Neodiprion lecontei: one gene and its partner. Each later gene encodes a partner of the first gene's protein in a complex. Links are inferred from orthologs where the notes say so. Each region holds a gene or a part of one and is shown in the gene's direction. Other genes may lie near its edges. The genes, in order: phenylalanine--tRNA ligase beta subunit and phenylalanine--tRNA ligase alpha subunit.

Region 1 (8,513 bases):
AGACGCACGGTCAGTAGTTTAGGTCGCCAAATACCAATTAAGCGTAAGAATGCATTGGACAACTCGGTTCAATTGCTTGTTTTAGAGAAACCGAGATTTATTCCTAATAGACGATTATTAATTATAATTGCTCACCTTTTAAAGTGTCAAACACCGGATGAGATGTCCCTCCGACGAGATAATGATGCTAGATGAGGGAACAGGAATTCACGTACTATTTTATTTGAGAAAACTAAGAAATTTAATTTTAAAGTATTTATTTGCACAATAGTTCGCTTACAAATGGAGGATGCCGGATAATTAATTATAAGTTTAAATGGAAAGATTGCTGGTTGTTCAGGCAGAACTATGTTCTAAATAAAATGGAGTATTGAGTTGCGCGGCAAAGAATACTCGTTTGTAATTTCTACAGAAGTTTTTGAACCCGTAGAGCATATGCAAATGACAAAGTACCGAAAACTTAAGTGATCTAAAAGTCTACAGGTGGGACCTGAGGCACGAGCCAAGAGAGCGTTGCACAAAATGCACGTTTTATACCTGGTAACATAGGAATTTGGAATGGAAAAAAAACAAAAGGATTATGCCACGAGATTGAAAGTAGCGCACTTAAAGTTTCGGGGCAACTTGTTTTCGGTCCGAAAAAAATACGAGTTCGATTCTATACGAATTATATGACAATGACTGGCAATGCAGCCGACGTGATGGGGAACTACACTGCCAACTCTTGAAGCTTGGTGGCAGCACCATCGTTGGTTCAAGATTCAAATACAAGCATACAATATTATGTTAAAATTCATTTTCCTTTATAGAAGATCTTTTGTCTTCACTTGGAGAAAAGCACCATGGCAAATTAACCTGTTTAAATTCTTCAATCGTTCAAACAAAATACTTTTTCATTTTAGAACATCGCAATTTCGCGACAAAGTATTCCAACGGTTATGTGCCAGCTGCAATCAGCTTGACAACTGTAGTCCCTATTATTTAAGATCTATGCGTAATACATACACAGAGTCCTATATGCCTGGTCTACGCTTAAGCTTTAAGTGGTGGTCTTGAAGTACGCCTCCATCAAAGCTGATGTGTAGTCGAGTTTATATGAACTTTAAGCGCCTCCCACTTAAATATTTTCTGAATCACACTTTAAACTCAAATTTCAGCGAAAAGTAGTGCCAACCGTACCGACATGACAGATATATTGAAATCTCGCGTGGTTTGAACTCGTTCTTTGTTCTTTGTGCTTTGTTCTTTTCTTCGGTCGGCATTTTGCCGTAACCAAGTTTGGTACATATTTATTACTTGAACAATTATTAATGTGAAAATATAATCCACGTTGAAGTATCACCAGGGTTTGCATCAAACAAAATGCCTTTCGAATTACAGATGAGAGATATGTTGATTATAAGCTATTCAAAAAATGGAAAATAAAATATAGATAGGTGATTATTAATTGATGAATAAAATTACGGAGAACATTGCATTATATTGCTTCATATATTGTATTACTGAGGTTATAAACACTAACTGACAGTTCTGAAGGTCTTCTTATTACTCCATTTGATGGCTACAAAGCCTTCTAATCTCCAAGTGCCACACAGTTCTGAGACACACTGTCTCCTTGCTGGAAAGCTCCCTTTGCTGACCATAAAAATCCAGCCACTAGTGCGCGTACCACCTAAGTCAGATCAGTAGCTCTGTTAGTTTTAGTTACACCTTCTACACTTTTTACACTTTCCCTAGGAAAGGGCACCTTCCATTGGCTAGATTCAGAAAAAGTGTAAAAAGTGTAGAAAAGAGTAACTAAAACGAACAGAGCCACGGTCTTACATACAGGTCTTGCGACTCAATAGAATTCCAATGGTAGAGAGTGGCTCCTCTGTTGAAGAAAAATCCAGATGGAGCTGCGATCGAGGGGTGCATCAACATAACCTACAATGTTTGAATAAGCCTTTGACGACTGACGTGCGTGTTCCGTATCGTGTTTCGTTCACAACACGGTCAAGACCGTGTCCTTGTCGCACCGGGCATCCCTCGATCGCAGCGACGCTAGCGGCTTGACACGTTAAGAGGCCCACGTCGAAACTCAGAGTCGCAAGACCTGTATGTAAGACCGTGAACAGAGCTAATGACTGATGTGCATTCGTGTACGTCCTCATTTCAGCTTATACGGTAGCTTCACGTAACCTCACATAGATTGGCACTTACCCTAATGCGATAGATTCAACAAGCAGAAGAACCTCAAATACGATATCGTGCTGCAATATTTAGTTGTATATTCCGTACCGAATATTACTCTTATGTTGCATGATATTGTTGTTTAAATTTTACTTTTTCCACAAATATGCCTACTATTAGTGTGAAACGTGACTTGCTTTTCAAAGCATTAGGAAGTACTTACAGTAAGTTTTTAGATGGAAAGGGCGGACCTTGACGTTTTAGTATCTAAATATTAATCATCAAACTGGTATTTTCAAAATTGTTCATTGATATTGCTGAAAGCAAAGATTAATTGAAAATTGAACTGTGTTCTTTACGCTGCACTCACATACTTTCATCTTTTTGTATGATATTATTACATGTAAACTACAATTTTACATGTCGTTCCTATTTGTCCACATAGTCTCTTTGTTGCAGTTTTTGCTATCGAGTCGTTTATTCCATTCCATTGCAGGTTGTTTAGTTCCCAACAACTGAAACACAATGCTTTGATCATTATAATTTTTTGATAGCTATAAATTGTGGCCTTTTATACTTTCAGCTGACGATGAATTTCAATCGTTATGTTTCAAATTTGGTCTTGAACTGGACGAAGTGGTAAGATCTTTTTTAATGATCACAAAAATTATTCAATATTATTGTGTCAGAATGTTCAATATGTGTCATATTATAGTTTTGAAATACAATGGCTGTTCTGTTTTGAACGATCAGGTATTTAAAAATTGAACACATAAACACTGTAGAGTACTTACAGAGAGGATTCAAATTTTGGTATAGAAACAAAATTTATATAACACAGTGAACCGTAGTTTAACGTAGTAAAACATGTATGATATAACATATGCACATGTTTTAAATGATATCTGAAATCATTATTTCTTGCGAAATAAGATTATCGTCGTTTAGAACACATTTGCATATTAATGTCTTGACATATTTAAATATTTCTTGAAGACCCTCATAGGTGTGTACATAAATTTCATAACGATGTAGATATTAAAATTACCCGATTATCAAACTAGCTTAATGTTAGCTGATAATTATACAGAAGATTATATGTACATAAAAAATGTTTTTTCTCACATCTAGACTACGGAAAAGCAAATGATAGCGAAAGAACAAGGCTCCGATCATGGTGCAGATGCTTCGGATGAAATTATCTACAGAATTGATATTCCAGCAAACCGATATGACCTCCTATGCCTTGAGGGTCTAGTCAGCGGAATTCTTGTATTTTTAGAGAAGTATTAATCACATAGTACATACTATTTGTTTAGTTTTAATAGGCTGAAGTTAATAACATTACTGCGATGATCGACGTCTCGTGAAAATCCTTATGCCTGAATTTTAGGAATGTCTTTAATGCAGTAAACTGTAATAAACCAAAACATTCATATTTTGTGAAACTTGACTACTTCAAAGTCACTACATAATTTCTAAGTACTGAACTTCTCCTCGAATCGTTCATTACGTTAACATTACTAACTTCAGCCTCCATAATATTTACAAGCAGAATGTATACTTCATAGTATACACATTATTTTTGAGTCGTAATAATTCATCGATGCTCTTAAATTTAATTCACTATATGATTTCAATCGTAATAGCATTTTGCAAAGTAGTTTCATTCTGAGGTATGTAAATTACCAGTTACGTTTTAAGACTTGGTATTTATTAAACATGATTTGTTACAACAATAATAATTATTATTATTAAAAACAGTAAAAAAAAGAAAACGCGTGGTGTACTAAGTAAAGTATTTTTGAATTCAGCTTCTAAAGGAAGTACTCACTCAGCAAAATAACTAATTTCCTTAAAAACTTTGAAATGTGTAAAAATTGAAGTCTAAATCAAGGTACAAGTTGCAAACTTTGAAGTCCTATCTGATAAATTTCTGGCTATTTGTGACCAAAGTTTCTTAGCTAGATTATAAAAAAGCATTCCCAAGGTTTAAAATTACCACAAAGTATGTGAGTTTTAAAATTGCAATTGTGCAGCTGAAAGAACCGATATACAATATGAAAATTAGAAAAAAATACGTTCTAGACTAGGATTATTCGAATAAGAATCACTCTTTGGTGCAAAAGCTTTTTCCTTGGCTTAATTAATGCTTGACATTATCAATTATAGTTAATTCAATGTTAATTGTTATTTCAGAAATCCACCCCCTCGATATACAGCACTTCTACCTAAAAGCAATTTACATCAAATTATCGTTACTCGAAGTGTGAGTTCTGTTTATGAAAATATTTACTGCTGCAAAAATGGCGCGCCAATTTATCATCGTGCTTCTTTTTGAACTCTTTCACACTGGAAATGTTATCTGTTGGCTTTTCTGTTTGGACAGACTCAAAGAATACGATGTTACGTTGTAGGAGCCATATTAAGAGATATAACGATAAACCAAGATTCCTACAAAAGCCTTATCGATTTACAAGATAAGCTCCATCAAAACATTTGTCGCAAACGCAGCCTTGTGGCAATAGGAACTCACGACTTGGACACAATTCAGGGTCCTTTCACTTATGATGCTAAACCTCCGAAAAATATTTCTTTCAAACCGCTGAATCAACAAAAAGTATACACAGGAGAGCAGATCATGGATTTGTATGCTGTATGTAAATGCGACATGTTTGAGTTACATCGTATCATAAATTCATGTATTTATATGTCTCTTATTCAGACTTCATTATTCTCTTCGAAAATTTTATGGAAAAAACATGTCTTATTCGATAGACTTGATGATTAGGTAATTAACAATGGAACCGTTTCGAACTTTGGAAACTTATAAGGCTTATGATAATGCTTGTGTGATCACAAATTTTGTTTGAGTCATGCCGCATTACGTCAGTTTTCTTTTTCGTCCATCCCTAAGGTAGCAAGATAATTTTTTTTTAATTGTATTTGCCAAACCCTACATTTTCACTTGCAGAACCACGCACAGCTCAAGCAATATTTACCAATCATAAAGGACAGTCCTGTGTATCCGATTATTTATGATAGCAATGGTGTGGTATTATCATTGCCGCCGATAATCAATGGAGATCATTCTAAGATTACTCTAAACACTAAAAATGTTCTCATTGAATGTACAGCTACGGATCTTACTAAGGTAATTACGTTCAGCTTTGTATCACATGCTTAATTTAAAAATGAATTTGAAATCTTTTACCAACATGTCAGTTTTTGCACCTTTATTTTCGTTTAGGCAAATATAGTCCTGGATACACTGATATGTATGTTTAGTCAGTACTGCAAAGAAAAATATACAGCTGAAAAGGTGGAGGTGATATATCCCGATAGGACGAGATTCCAATACCCTAATCTCAGTTATCGAAATGAAGAAATCAGTCCAGAAAAAGCCACTGGCTATATCGGTATTAGGTAAGTTATTACAGTCATTATTTTTCTACTTATTAAGATCAAAAAATAAACGTCTCATCCATATTAACATTGATGTATGCAAACAGTATTGTCTTTTCAACTCAATACAGTCTGACCCTGTTGCAAGGGTAGAGGCAGCGCCACTGTTGTCTAAGATCAAGATCACAGGAGGACCAATTGAGTAGTCTGGCGCAGTTCCACTTAGGAACTAGTTTCTCCGCATAGAAAGCCTTGCTTATCAACTCTTAACGTGTACTCTTCAGGAGAATTACATAATGGTTATAGTCAATTTAAGAAATGAATTAGTGCTACAGTGCGCATTTGATAAAAATTATTCTGTTCACTCTGCTAATCGAAATGAGGGAAATTAAAAAAAAAAAAGATTTTTACAAAATATATTGATTTATTTGCATAATGCACTAAGTTTCTCTTGCATTTCCTTCGTACTCACAATCAGGTACAAGTAAAATGTTATAAAAATATCAAAAAATCTTATAAAATATTAACGACACTGCAAAATTATTCACATTGCACTTCATGAAATACTTACATTCTATCGAAGATGATCAATGATAAAGATCACAGAAAAATCAGTACACCAATAACATCAAACAATCATTGTGTACACACTGGAAAATATTGCACCTCTAAATCTCGAGGCATATACTTTCACCCAAATGCCAAAACTATACTGACGCTTGACGAATGACGCACTGTGCTAGGGGAGAGAAGGAGTACCTTGAGCAGGATAATGAGATAAGTTCAATTTTCATGTCATGGCTGAGAGCAACTTGAAGGTGAATTTGTCTAGGATCTTTCTATTCCTACTGTGCGCATTGAGGGTGAGAAATTAAAATTGATACATTTCAATAATGCTGATTACTTCACTGAACAGTTATGACGGTACACTTTAAGCACAATAAAATCAAACTTACCAAACTAGACAGTATAAAATCATCACAGATCTGTTGCAACAAACGAAAATCTCATCTCTATTATTTTGCTTGGACCCAGATTGTGTAATGTGTTATTCATTTCTGAAAAGCATCAAAAGTATCGCATTCTTTTTGCCGTCAACATACTTAAATTTTCTTCCCATTGAGTCATGGAGAGAATGAATATTTCGAACAGCAATTGGAATACTTTTATAAATATTTAAATGAGTTACAACAGTTTATCATTTTTAATTTTAATTCACACTTAGTAATTTCAGTATATCATCGGTTAAACCCTGTTGAAAATGTATTGTGCCGTGGATGAGATTTATCATATGATTTTAAGGATATAGATTTTATAATCTTTTTCGTTTTTTTCTCACTAAAATGTTAACAATAAATAATATTCACGAAATTATTTCACTTAGGAAAACGTAAACCGTTAACAAATTTTGTACTTTCAGAGAAACGCCAAACAACGTTGCACAGCTTCTTTCTAAAATGTGTTTGAAAACCAAAGTTGAAGACGACAGGTTAATAGTTGAAATACCTCCCACAAGGCATGATGTCATACATCCTTGCGATATCTACGAGGATATAGCTATTGCCTACGGCTACAACAACATAGTAAAAACATTACCCAAAGGGTTGACAATCGCAGAACAGGTGAAGCAAGTATTATATTATCCATACGAAAGAAGACCTAATATTACCTTTCATTCCGGAAACTAATTATACTGTTATATTAGTTTCCACTAAACAAGTTATCTGATCAACTGAGAGAAGAAGTTGCTCATGCTGGATTTACAGAAGCTTTGACATTTTCCTTGGTATGTATCGTCGCTACTTTTGAAAATCCTTTCACTTGGCCTCTCGTCATCTGAAACCTCTTTCTTCATTATTGTTTCTTTATTATGTACTCCAATTCAAGTGTTCTCGAGAGGATATATCTGAGAAATTGAGACTTGGCATCAAGGATGTACCAGCGGTCCATATCTCTAATCCAAAGACACTAGAATTTCAAGTAGGTATCATTTAAAATCACAAACCTTTCGGTTTAATAATTTAACACAATTTTAAGCAATACATGTTCGCGACCCAATTAAATTGATAATACGATTAGTTTTTTAATGCTTGCATTATACATTATGTTTTCTTTACAAACATTGAGTACATCCAGCCATAAAATATTCAACTAACTGCGTTTAGGTAGCTAGGACCACATTACTACCGGGACTTCTGAAGACTTTGGCTGCTAACAAAAAGATGCCGTTACCCCAAAAGTTATTTGAAATATCCGATGTAGTACTGCGTGATTGTACAGCGGAAGTTGGAGCCCGTAATGAAAGACGAATTTGTGCAATCAATTGTAATAAGTTTGCAGGCTTCGAGATAATTCATGGTCTTTTAGACAGAATTATGCAGTTACTTGAAGTTCCATGGAGTACAGCTAAAGATTCCAATGGTTACTACTTGCGTGCTGCCGACGGTGAGCTATTTCGATACTTTTTAGTTCTGCAATGATGTATTTCTAGTATCCGTTTCAATGCCATCATCTCAGATCAAGTTTAGCATATTTGCTTTTTCTTTTAAATTAAGTTTGTCATTACTACCCGTAACTGTGTTCTAAGGGGGGAAAAAAAAATGGCTGGACCAATGAATGTTTAAATTTCATCAAATAGATCTGAAAATGTTTGTATTTGTTAGACAAAAAAATAAGCTGAAACTGAGTATTTTCACACATAAGAGTCCAAAGTTTGATAGATTCTCTGTAAAGTACAGCTAAAACTTTATTTCTGTCAAGTGTCAGATGATCCAGTCGTGCTGATTATATTAAGTATTAAGGTTTGCTTAGAATAGTGATATGGTAATCCGACAGACGCAGTTTGTCAAAGAAAAAATTCGAGAACGTTGGAAAAAACTGCAATGTTAATACCAACGAATCTCGATTCAACATATTTTCATTCGTACTCTACTTTT
Region 2 (6,716 bases), on another chromosome or scaffold:
AAATTGATATTGTACCCTATTCTGCTTATGCATGTATTCATTTATTCATTCATTTCTGCTTTAGAAAAGGATTCGGTGCTAGTTTTGTCAGGAGAGTGAGAAAGGCCGGCTCTGAGCTCTTGAACAAGGTAAGAAAAATCAAAATATGCAAATGTAAGATGCCGAAGTTACTACCTCCAGTGAATCCTACAATTCAGGTTTCTAAAACTTTAATTTCCGATTAACAGAATCGTAGATCCTGGGCCGAGGACACCAAACAGTTGGATGGCAAAACATACGAGTCCGAATCTGGTGGAAACGATTCCGACGCCAGTGCAGAAGATATTAGACCGATAAGAGGTAAAAAAGGTACATAGCTTTAGTTACTGTTTGGATCCTTAGTAAAGAGCTGAAGAAATGAGTGAACGAGTGGTGCAAGTTTGGTGCGAAACTGTTCCATATATTAACATTTAGTGTTTTTTCTCTTTTTTCTCATCAATTCAGAACAGCCAGATATCACGGAGCTGAGAAGCGATCCCTTATCGCTAGGCTACCCAGGCACTCGGAGAACAGTTTACTATACAGACGAAATTCCATCGAGCAAAACGACTCTGGATGTAAGTCTGTGTCATGAATCTGAAATAGGAAACTTCTTTTACTCCAATGAAAAATTACATTATTCTTAAGGATAGTGATTTTCCATTAAACAGGATCAACGAGTAGCTGATCCAGCGAAGATGTTAGAAGGAGATGAGAGAAACAGAAACGGCCAAATCGATTCGAACACAAATCCAGATTTAGACGCGCAGAACAGTAAACATCCAGTATTGATTTACAACAAAGTATCAGCGGTGATAAACGAATCGAAAAATATCTCTACAACGGAGAAAGATATTCCAGCCAATATTCCTGAAACCGTCGGTGAAAGATCATCCGAAAAAGATGCCAAAGCGGCTTCCGTTTGGTACGAATACGGATGTGTATAATTTAATCAACGAATAGTTACTAATTAATCAAGTTATACCGATCGCGTTACAAGTACAAATTGTAAATATTAGCGCTTACCTAATTTTGTTCTCTTTACAAGATATTTGTAATTTAGACTTGGTCAAGATTAGAGGTAACCGTTCTGGTTGTTTGTTTTTCTTTCAGTTGAGAAAAAAAAATAGAGGATTCCTACCTTATTGATTTTAGTTACCGAATATAGAATTAACTGAAATACTATTGATATGTGGATAGTTAGTAAACAGGGGTAAAAGGTATGCGGTTTTTACATAATGCGACAAAATGACTGTTTAATGAATGAGTGTAGAAATTATTATTTATTTCTATTGCTGCTTTTTAAAAAATTCTCTTCCATGCGTAGTTTTACCAATGTAGTATTTTCCAAAAGACTGGTGTTTTAACGAATTTACTTGCCTCGCAAATAATTGGGGCAATAATAACAGTGCACCTTTCATAGTATTACTCAGCTTATTTTTGATGAATGTTCTTTTTTTTTTAAGTGTGAGAGTCAAAGACTTGATCAGCTGTACAGCTGTATCAATTGAATGCTGTTTTATGCAACTAGGATAAGGCTAAAAAACACCAATTATGTTATCATTAGAGCCTAAGACCGATTTATCGAGATCGTAACAGAATCTATTCCATCAATCTTCTCACCTTGAAGTCATCAGACACTCTCAAGAGGTCACACATTGTTAAATTCCATCGGCAGCTTTGGTAGAAATAGAATTTGTTACGTTCTAGAATTCGGGCATAGTCGCAATATGAATGGTGTAATTAAAACTTTCCTACACAATATTGTTATTTAACAATAAAAATCGGCGAAATTTTTATTTAAACAACTGCCACCAATTTTTTATGTTTTCCATTGTTCCTTATATTTAACAAACAAAAAACTATGAGAAGAGAAGAATTGAGGAATGTGATCCCGTTTTTCTGTTTGATGAGTTTGGTTTGAATCACTGGCATTCGATAAACAAAAGCCAATCAGCAGCTATCCTTTGAATGTAAATTTCGACATTGATTGTCGATAATGAAGGGATCGATTCAGCGTAATTTTCTAAAATTCTAGGTTAGGATTGAGCCGTGGCATGACACGCAGTGCGGTTCATCACAATTAACGGCGGTTAGCAAAGGTTGAAAAGAATTACTATTGAAAAAAGATTTATCATCGGATGTGAGACAGTTAATAAAATCTTGTCAACATGGCTAGCGAGTTAGCGGAGAAAATACTTGAACATTTATCAAAGCGTGGCGATGGAGTGAGCACTCTGGATCTGGCTGAGCTATTCGTTGAAGATCATCAGAAAGTGATCGGCGCTGTCAAAAGTCTTCAAACCCTCGAAAATGTAACTTTTGCACTCTATCGTTTCCTTCCAATAATACTCAGAGCCGTATTCAATTGTTCATCACTTTTTTGCATGTAAACTTGACATAAACAAAGTAAGAATGACGCAACAGCTGTAACTATTTTCGAATATTATTCAATGTTCTACACTGTCAGATCGTGATCGAATTATTATGAATGTACTGCTACGATTAAAATTGATTATTTACTCTAAACCAGAGTCTGATTCACCACAGGTTATTTCAGTTGAACAATTGAATAAGAAGAGTTGGGCACTGACGCAAGAGGGTCAGCAAGTCGCTGAAAATGGGAGCCACGAGGCTGCGGTCTTTAAAGCTGTGCCAGACGGTGGTGTGGCGCAAACAGAGATTATGAAGACTGTACCAAACGCTAAGGTGGGATTTTCCAAGGCATTGGTAGCTGGCTGGATCGAGCTGGACAAGAGCAGCGGGACTCCGATCGTTAGGAGAAAAGTACCCTCTATAACGGACACAATTCAGTTACATTTGAAAAATGTTGCCAACATCCCGGACAATGTTAAAAATGATTACAAGAAGAGAAAACTCCTGCAGGAAGTGTAAGCTGCAATGATAGAATTTTCGGTACTTGTTATTTTGATAGTTTTTCATTAGTTAATTACTTGTCTTCGCAGGGTAACAAAGATAATGGTGTTGTCAAAAGGACTACAATTTGTGACTAAAATTGAGAAACTAGAAACAGATCTTACGGCAGATTTATTGACAAACGACTCTTGGAAGCAAAAGAAGTTCAAGCCTTATAATTTCGATGCTCTCGGTGTGGCGCTTGACATCGGTCATCTGCACCCTCTTCTTAAAGTCAGAGCTGAATTCAGAAAGATTTTCCTTGAAATGGGGTAAGATACATTTTTTGAGCATATGCCAATTTTTAACCATTGACAACAGGCGATGCAATTCTTTGACTTTGAAAAGAAACTCATCTTTCTTTTGTCCTCTTCACTCATTCTTATAGATTCTCCGAAATGCCTACAAACAATTTTGTTGAGAGTTCATTCTGGAATTTCGATGCGTTGTTTCAGCCACAACAACACCCTGCGCGAGATGCGCATGATACTTTTTTCATATCTGGTAAGGAATTATTACTATTTTCAAATCATCGGATCCCCTTTTGTATGCTTTTTACATTCGACATTAATCGTCCAAACTCAGCGATCCTCACTTAATTTTTGTAAATTCTTCAGAACCAAGAACTAGCTCAAATTTTCCTAAGGATTACTTGGAGAAGGTAAAGAAAGTGCACAGCGAAGGCGGCTATGGATCGCAAGGATATCGTTACGAGTGGAAAATTGAGGAAGCTCAGAAAAATTTACTCAGGACTCACACAACAGCTGTTAGCGCCAGAATGCTCTACAATCTTATGCAGCAGGTAAGCTGCATGTGTTCAGTATTGACTACAAAGAAAATAAATGGTTCATGAGCTGCCACGCTATATGCATTTAACAAATTTTGCATTGATGTTGTGATAAAATACGAAACCAAGGATTTTTTCTAGTAAATCCTGTTGAAATCTAGCTGAGAAGCATCTTAATCTGCAGCTTTGTGAATTTTAGGGTGAATTTAAGCCTGTGCGATACTTTAGTATCGACAGAGTATTCAGGAACGAGACACTCGATGCCACACACTTGGCTGAGTTTCATCAGGTCGAAGGCGTAGTTGCAGACTACAATCTCACACTGGGCGATCTGATAGGAACACTCTATGAATTCTTCAAAAAACTCGGCATCATTCAGCTGGAATTCAAGCCAGCATACAATCCATACACCGAACCGAGCATGGAGATATTTTGCTTCCATAATGGCTTGGGAAAGTGGATAGAGATCGGAAACAGTGGAATTTTCAGACCTGAGATGCTGCTGCCGATGGGGTTGCCCGAAAATGTTAATGTTATTGCATGGGGTCTGTCTTTGGAAAGGTAAAACCATTTTTCAAGTGTTGGAGCAATTTTCTCGCGACTAAGGCAAGGGAAGAAGGAAGTTGCGCCATCAGAACTACTGGTTTCCTAGTAATGTCAGTCATTAGTCATATTGATCAGAATTCAGATTGGTTCAGACTCAGGATTTCAATTAACTTATTAAGCAATTCTTACGCATCATTCACATCAAATATTACAATTATTTAATCCAGTAGTTGGTAGATCATTCATAAAAGAGGATAGAAAGTAGGTATTGATCTGTATGATATTTTGTTTTCCCTACAGGCCTACGATGATCAAGTATGGATTGAATAATATCCGTGATCTAGTTGGACCAAAAGTGGACCTGCAAATGGTACATAACAATCCCATATGTCGTCTTGAGAAGTAATTATCAATTTCATTTATTCATTCTACATTATTTAATGCATGTTTAAAATAAATCGTCTATTGAGCGTAGATTGTTTCATTTATTATCCTGTCCATTTTATAATATCCGTTGTGTTTTTTCAGTCCCGCAAATAACGTATATCTCCTACAACGTGTTTCCTCGCCTTTGTAGTTTTTGTATTACAGGAATTATGTTCAGAGAAAAGTGTCTATCCTTAGCTTCATTCAGAATCATTTGTGCATCACATGGATGTTTCTACATGCATAAGTTATAAGCTTGATAAGAAATGGTCACAAATGCAGATAAAATAGGGTGTGGCTTGTTTTCCTAGGAATGGACCGCGGATATTGAAGTCAAAATATACGGCAGAACAGTTGGAGGAACGTTTGGATAAAATTCTCTTGGAACTAGAACAGTTACAGAAGGAATTGCCAAGAGTTGGGCGCTCAACAACAACGTTTGAAAAAAAAAATTTAGTCATATTCTGCGATCCTAGTCGACCAATGTATTCTTTAGAAACTCTACTGAGTTTGATCAATGAATTTCATAGCGTATTCGTTTCTACGTATACCCATTCTAACGTTGCGGTATTTCCTCAAGAGTTGAGAGATTTCTGTTCAAAGTTTAAGAAATCTACAAATGCTGATACCGCTGACATCACTGTAACGATCGTTTGGAAGATCGTTGGTGTCGACCCAATTTTAAAACTTAATCAGAATCATGAAATTGTTGGCGAAGTCAACATAGCTCGGTATTTGAATCGGTTCATTGAAGCTGAATGCAGAAACATCTTGGAATACGAAAGTACCTCGGCTGCTTACGCTGATAAAATAGACTCGGCATTAGACAAAATACATGGCATCATACACGGTGCTACAAGGCACAAACTAGACACTATGCAAATTAAATCAAAAACCGGATATATAATTGGTAGCAAACTTTCAATTGTTGACATCGTTTGGAACTCTGTAAAAAAACATCACACTAAATAGTTTTATATGTAAATATTTCTGGATTCTATAAAACGAAACAAAAAAATATTTTATTACTATTGATAATTATAAATGATTATTTCTTTTCTACAGCATTTTATTGTGATTTATCAAATTGAACATATAAATTATTTCACCATTTTAATATTCCTATTTTTTCTTTTCCCTTCTAAACAAACCCTAACTGATACTCCATGTTCGAATTTCGAATATAAGAAGCCTGGAGCAAAGACCGCGACTCGTGCGAGTATTAAGGTGGTAGTGTATGTACAATTTCTACTAAGCCCGTACTTTCAATGAATCACATTGCTAGATCATCAATTAGTCAGTCGATCTTGTGCATCCCTGCAACCGTTGACCGAAGACTTATAAAGATAGTTACCCGTAGGTAAATTTTTGTGTACTTGTATTTTCTAATTTAATTCAAAACTCCTATTAATTTACAGAATTCCATTTTCTAATTTAATTCAAAACTCCCATAAATTTACTGAATTCCGATTTAAAATCGCGAATATCTCGGTTTCCTAAAGGGGAAATAGAATCGGGCAGGTAATTAGCCCATCGTAAGAACTCCCCTGGATCCCTTAATTTTATTTCGATTTTAATTTTAATTTTCAAACCTTAAATCGCGAATATCTCGAGAACGGTGATAGATAGCGCAAAAATAGCAATAATTCGGGATCTGCTGGTCTGATAGCATCTAAATTTAACAACAACTCCAATTGATTCGCAGAATTTCGATGACAAAAATCTAAAATCGCGAATATCTCGAGAACGGTGATAGATACGGCAAAACTAACGAAATTTTGGAGGTGTCCTAAAGGGGAAATAGAATCGGGCAGGTAATCAGCCCATCGTAAGAACTCCCCTGGATCCCTCAATTTTATTTCGATTTTAATTTTAATTTTCAAACCTTAAATCGCGAATATCTCGAGAACGGTGATAGATAGCGCAAAAATAGCAATAATTCGGGATCTGCTGGTCTGATAGCATCTAATTTTATCAACAACTCTGATTAATTCACAGAATTTCGATGACAGAAATCTAAAAT

The links.
Region 2: the proteins of phenylalanine--tRNA ligase beta subunit (region 1) and phenylalanine--tRNA ligase alpha subunit are in contact, whole or in part, in a crystal structure (PDB 3L4G), measured with the Homo sapiens proteins. The link is inferred for Neodiprion lecontei from reciprocal best matches to the Homo sapiens genes FARSB and FARSA. Residues at the interface, in NP_005678.3 of Homo sapiens: Glu26, Phe29, Gly32, Leu33, Pro68, Ala69, Asn70, Ile150, Arg152, Asp259, Thr261, Lys262, Arg305, Lys316, Lys317, Val318, Gly319, Ile359, His360, Cys362, Asp363, Glu366, Ala369, Ile370, Tyr374, Asn375, Ile377, Gln378, Met379, Thr380; in NP_004452.1 of Homo sapiens: Ser221, Gly222, His223, Leu224, His225, Leu227, Leu228, Arg231, Ser232, Arg235, Leu239, Gly242, Phe243, Thr244, Glu245, Pro247, Asp249, Asn250, Phe251, Ile252, Glu253, Ser254, Phe263, Gln266, Gln267, Phe277, Phe278, Leu279, Arg280, Asp281.

Annotation. Positions count from the first base shown.
Region 1 is NC_060263.1:10,025,996-10,034,508, reverse strand, and holds the start of phenylalanine--tRNA ligase beta subunit, read left to right. Parts: upstream 1-2,166; 5' UTR 2,167-2,338; coding exon 2,339-2,396; intron 2,397-2,755; coding exon 2,756-2,811; intron 2,812-3,303; coding exon 3,304-3,458; intron 3,459-4,371; coding exon 4,372-4,441; intron 4,442-4,561; coding exon 4,562-4,828; intron 4,829-5,146; coding exon 5,147-5,326; intron 5,327-5,422; coding exon 5,423-5,598; intron 5,599-6,997; coding exon 6,998-7,199; intron 7,200-7,282; coding exon 7,283-7,363; intron 7,364-7,464; coding exon 7,465-7,557; intron 7,558-7,742; coding exon 7,743-8,022; intron 8,023-8,513.
Region 2 is NC_060264.1:28,395,692-28,402,407, reverse strand, and holds phenylalanine--tRNA ligase alpha subunit, read left to right. Parts: upstream 1-2,020; 5' UTR 2,021-2,189; coding exon 2,190-2,333; intron 2,334-2,568; coding exon 2,569-2,909; intron 2,910-2,984; coding exon 2,985-3,206; intron 3,207-3,322; coding exon 3,323-3,438; intron 3,439-3,551; coding exon 3,552-3,736; intron 3,737-3,920; coding exon 3,921-4,282; intron 4,283-4,567; coding exon 4,568-4,669; intron 4,670-5,004; coding exon 5,005-5,665; 3' UTR 5,666-5,810; downstream 5,811-6,716. Other genes in the region: girdin, read left to right, coding at 65-128, 228-348, 484-596, 690-965.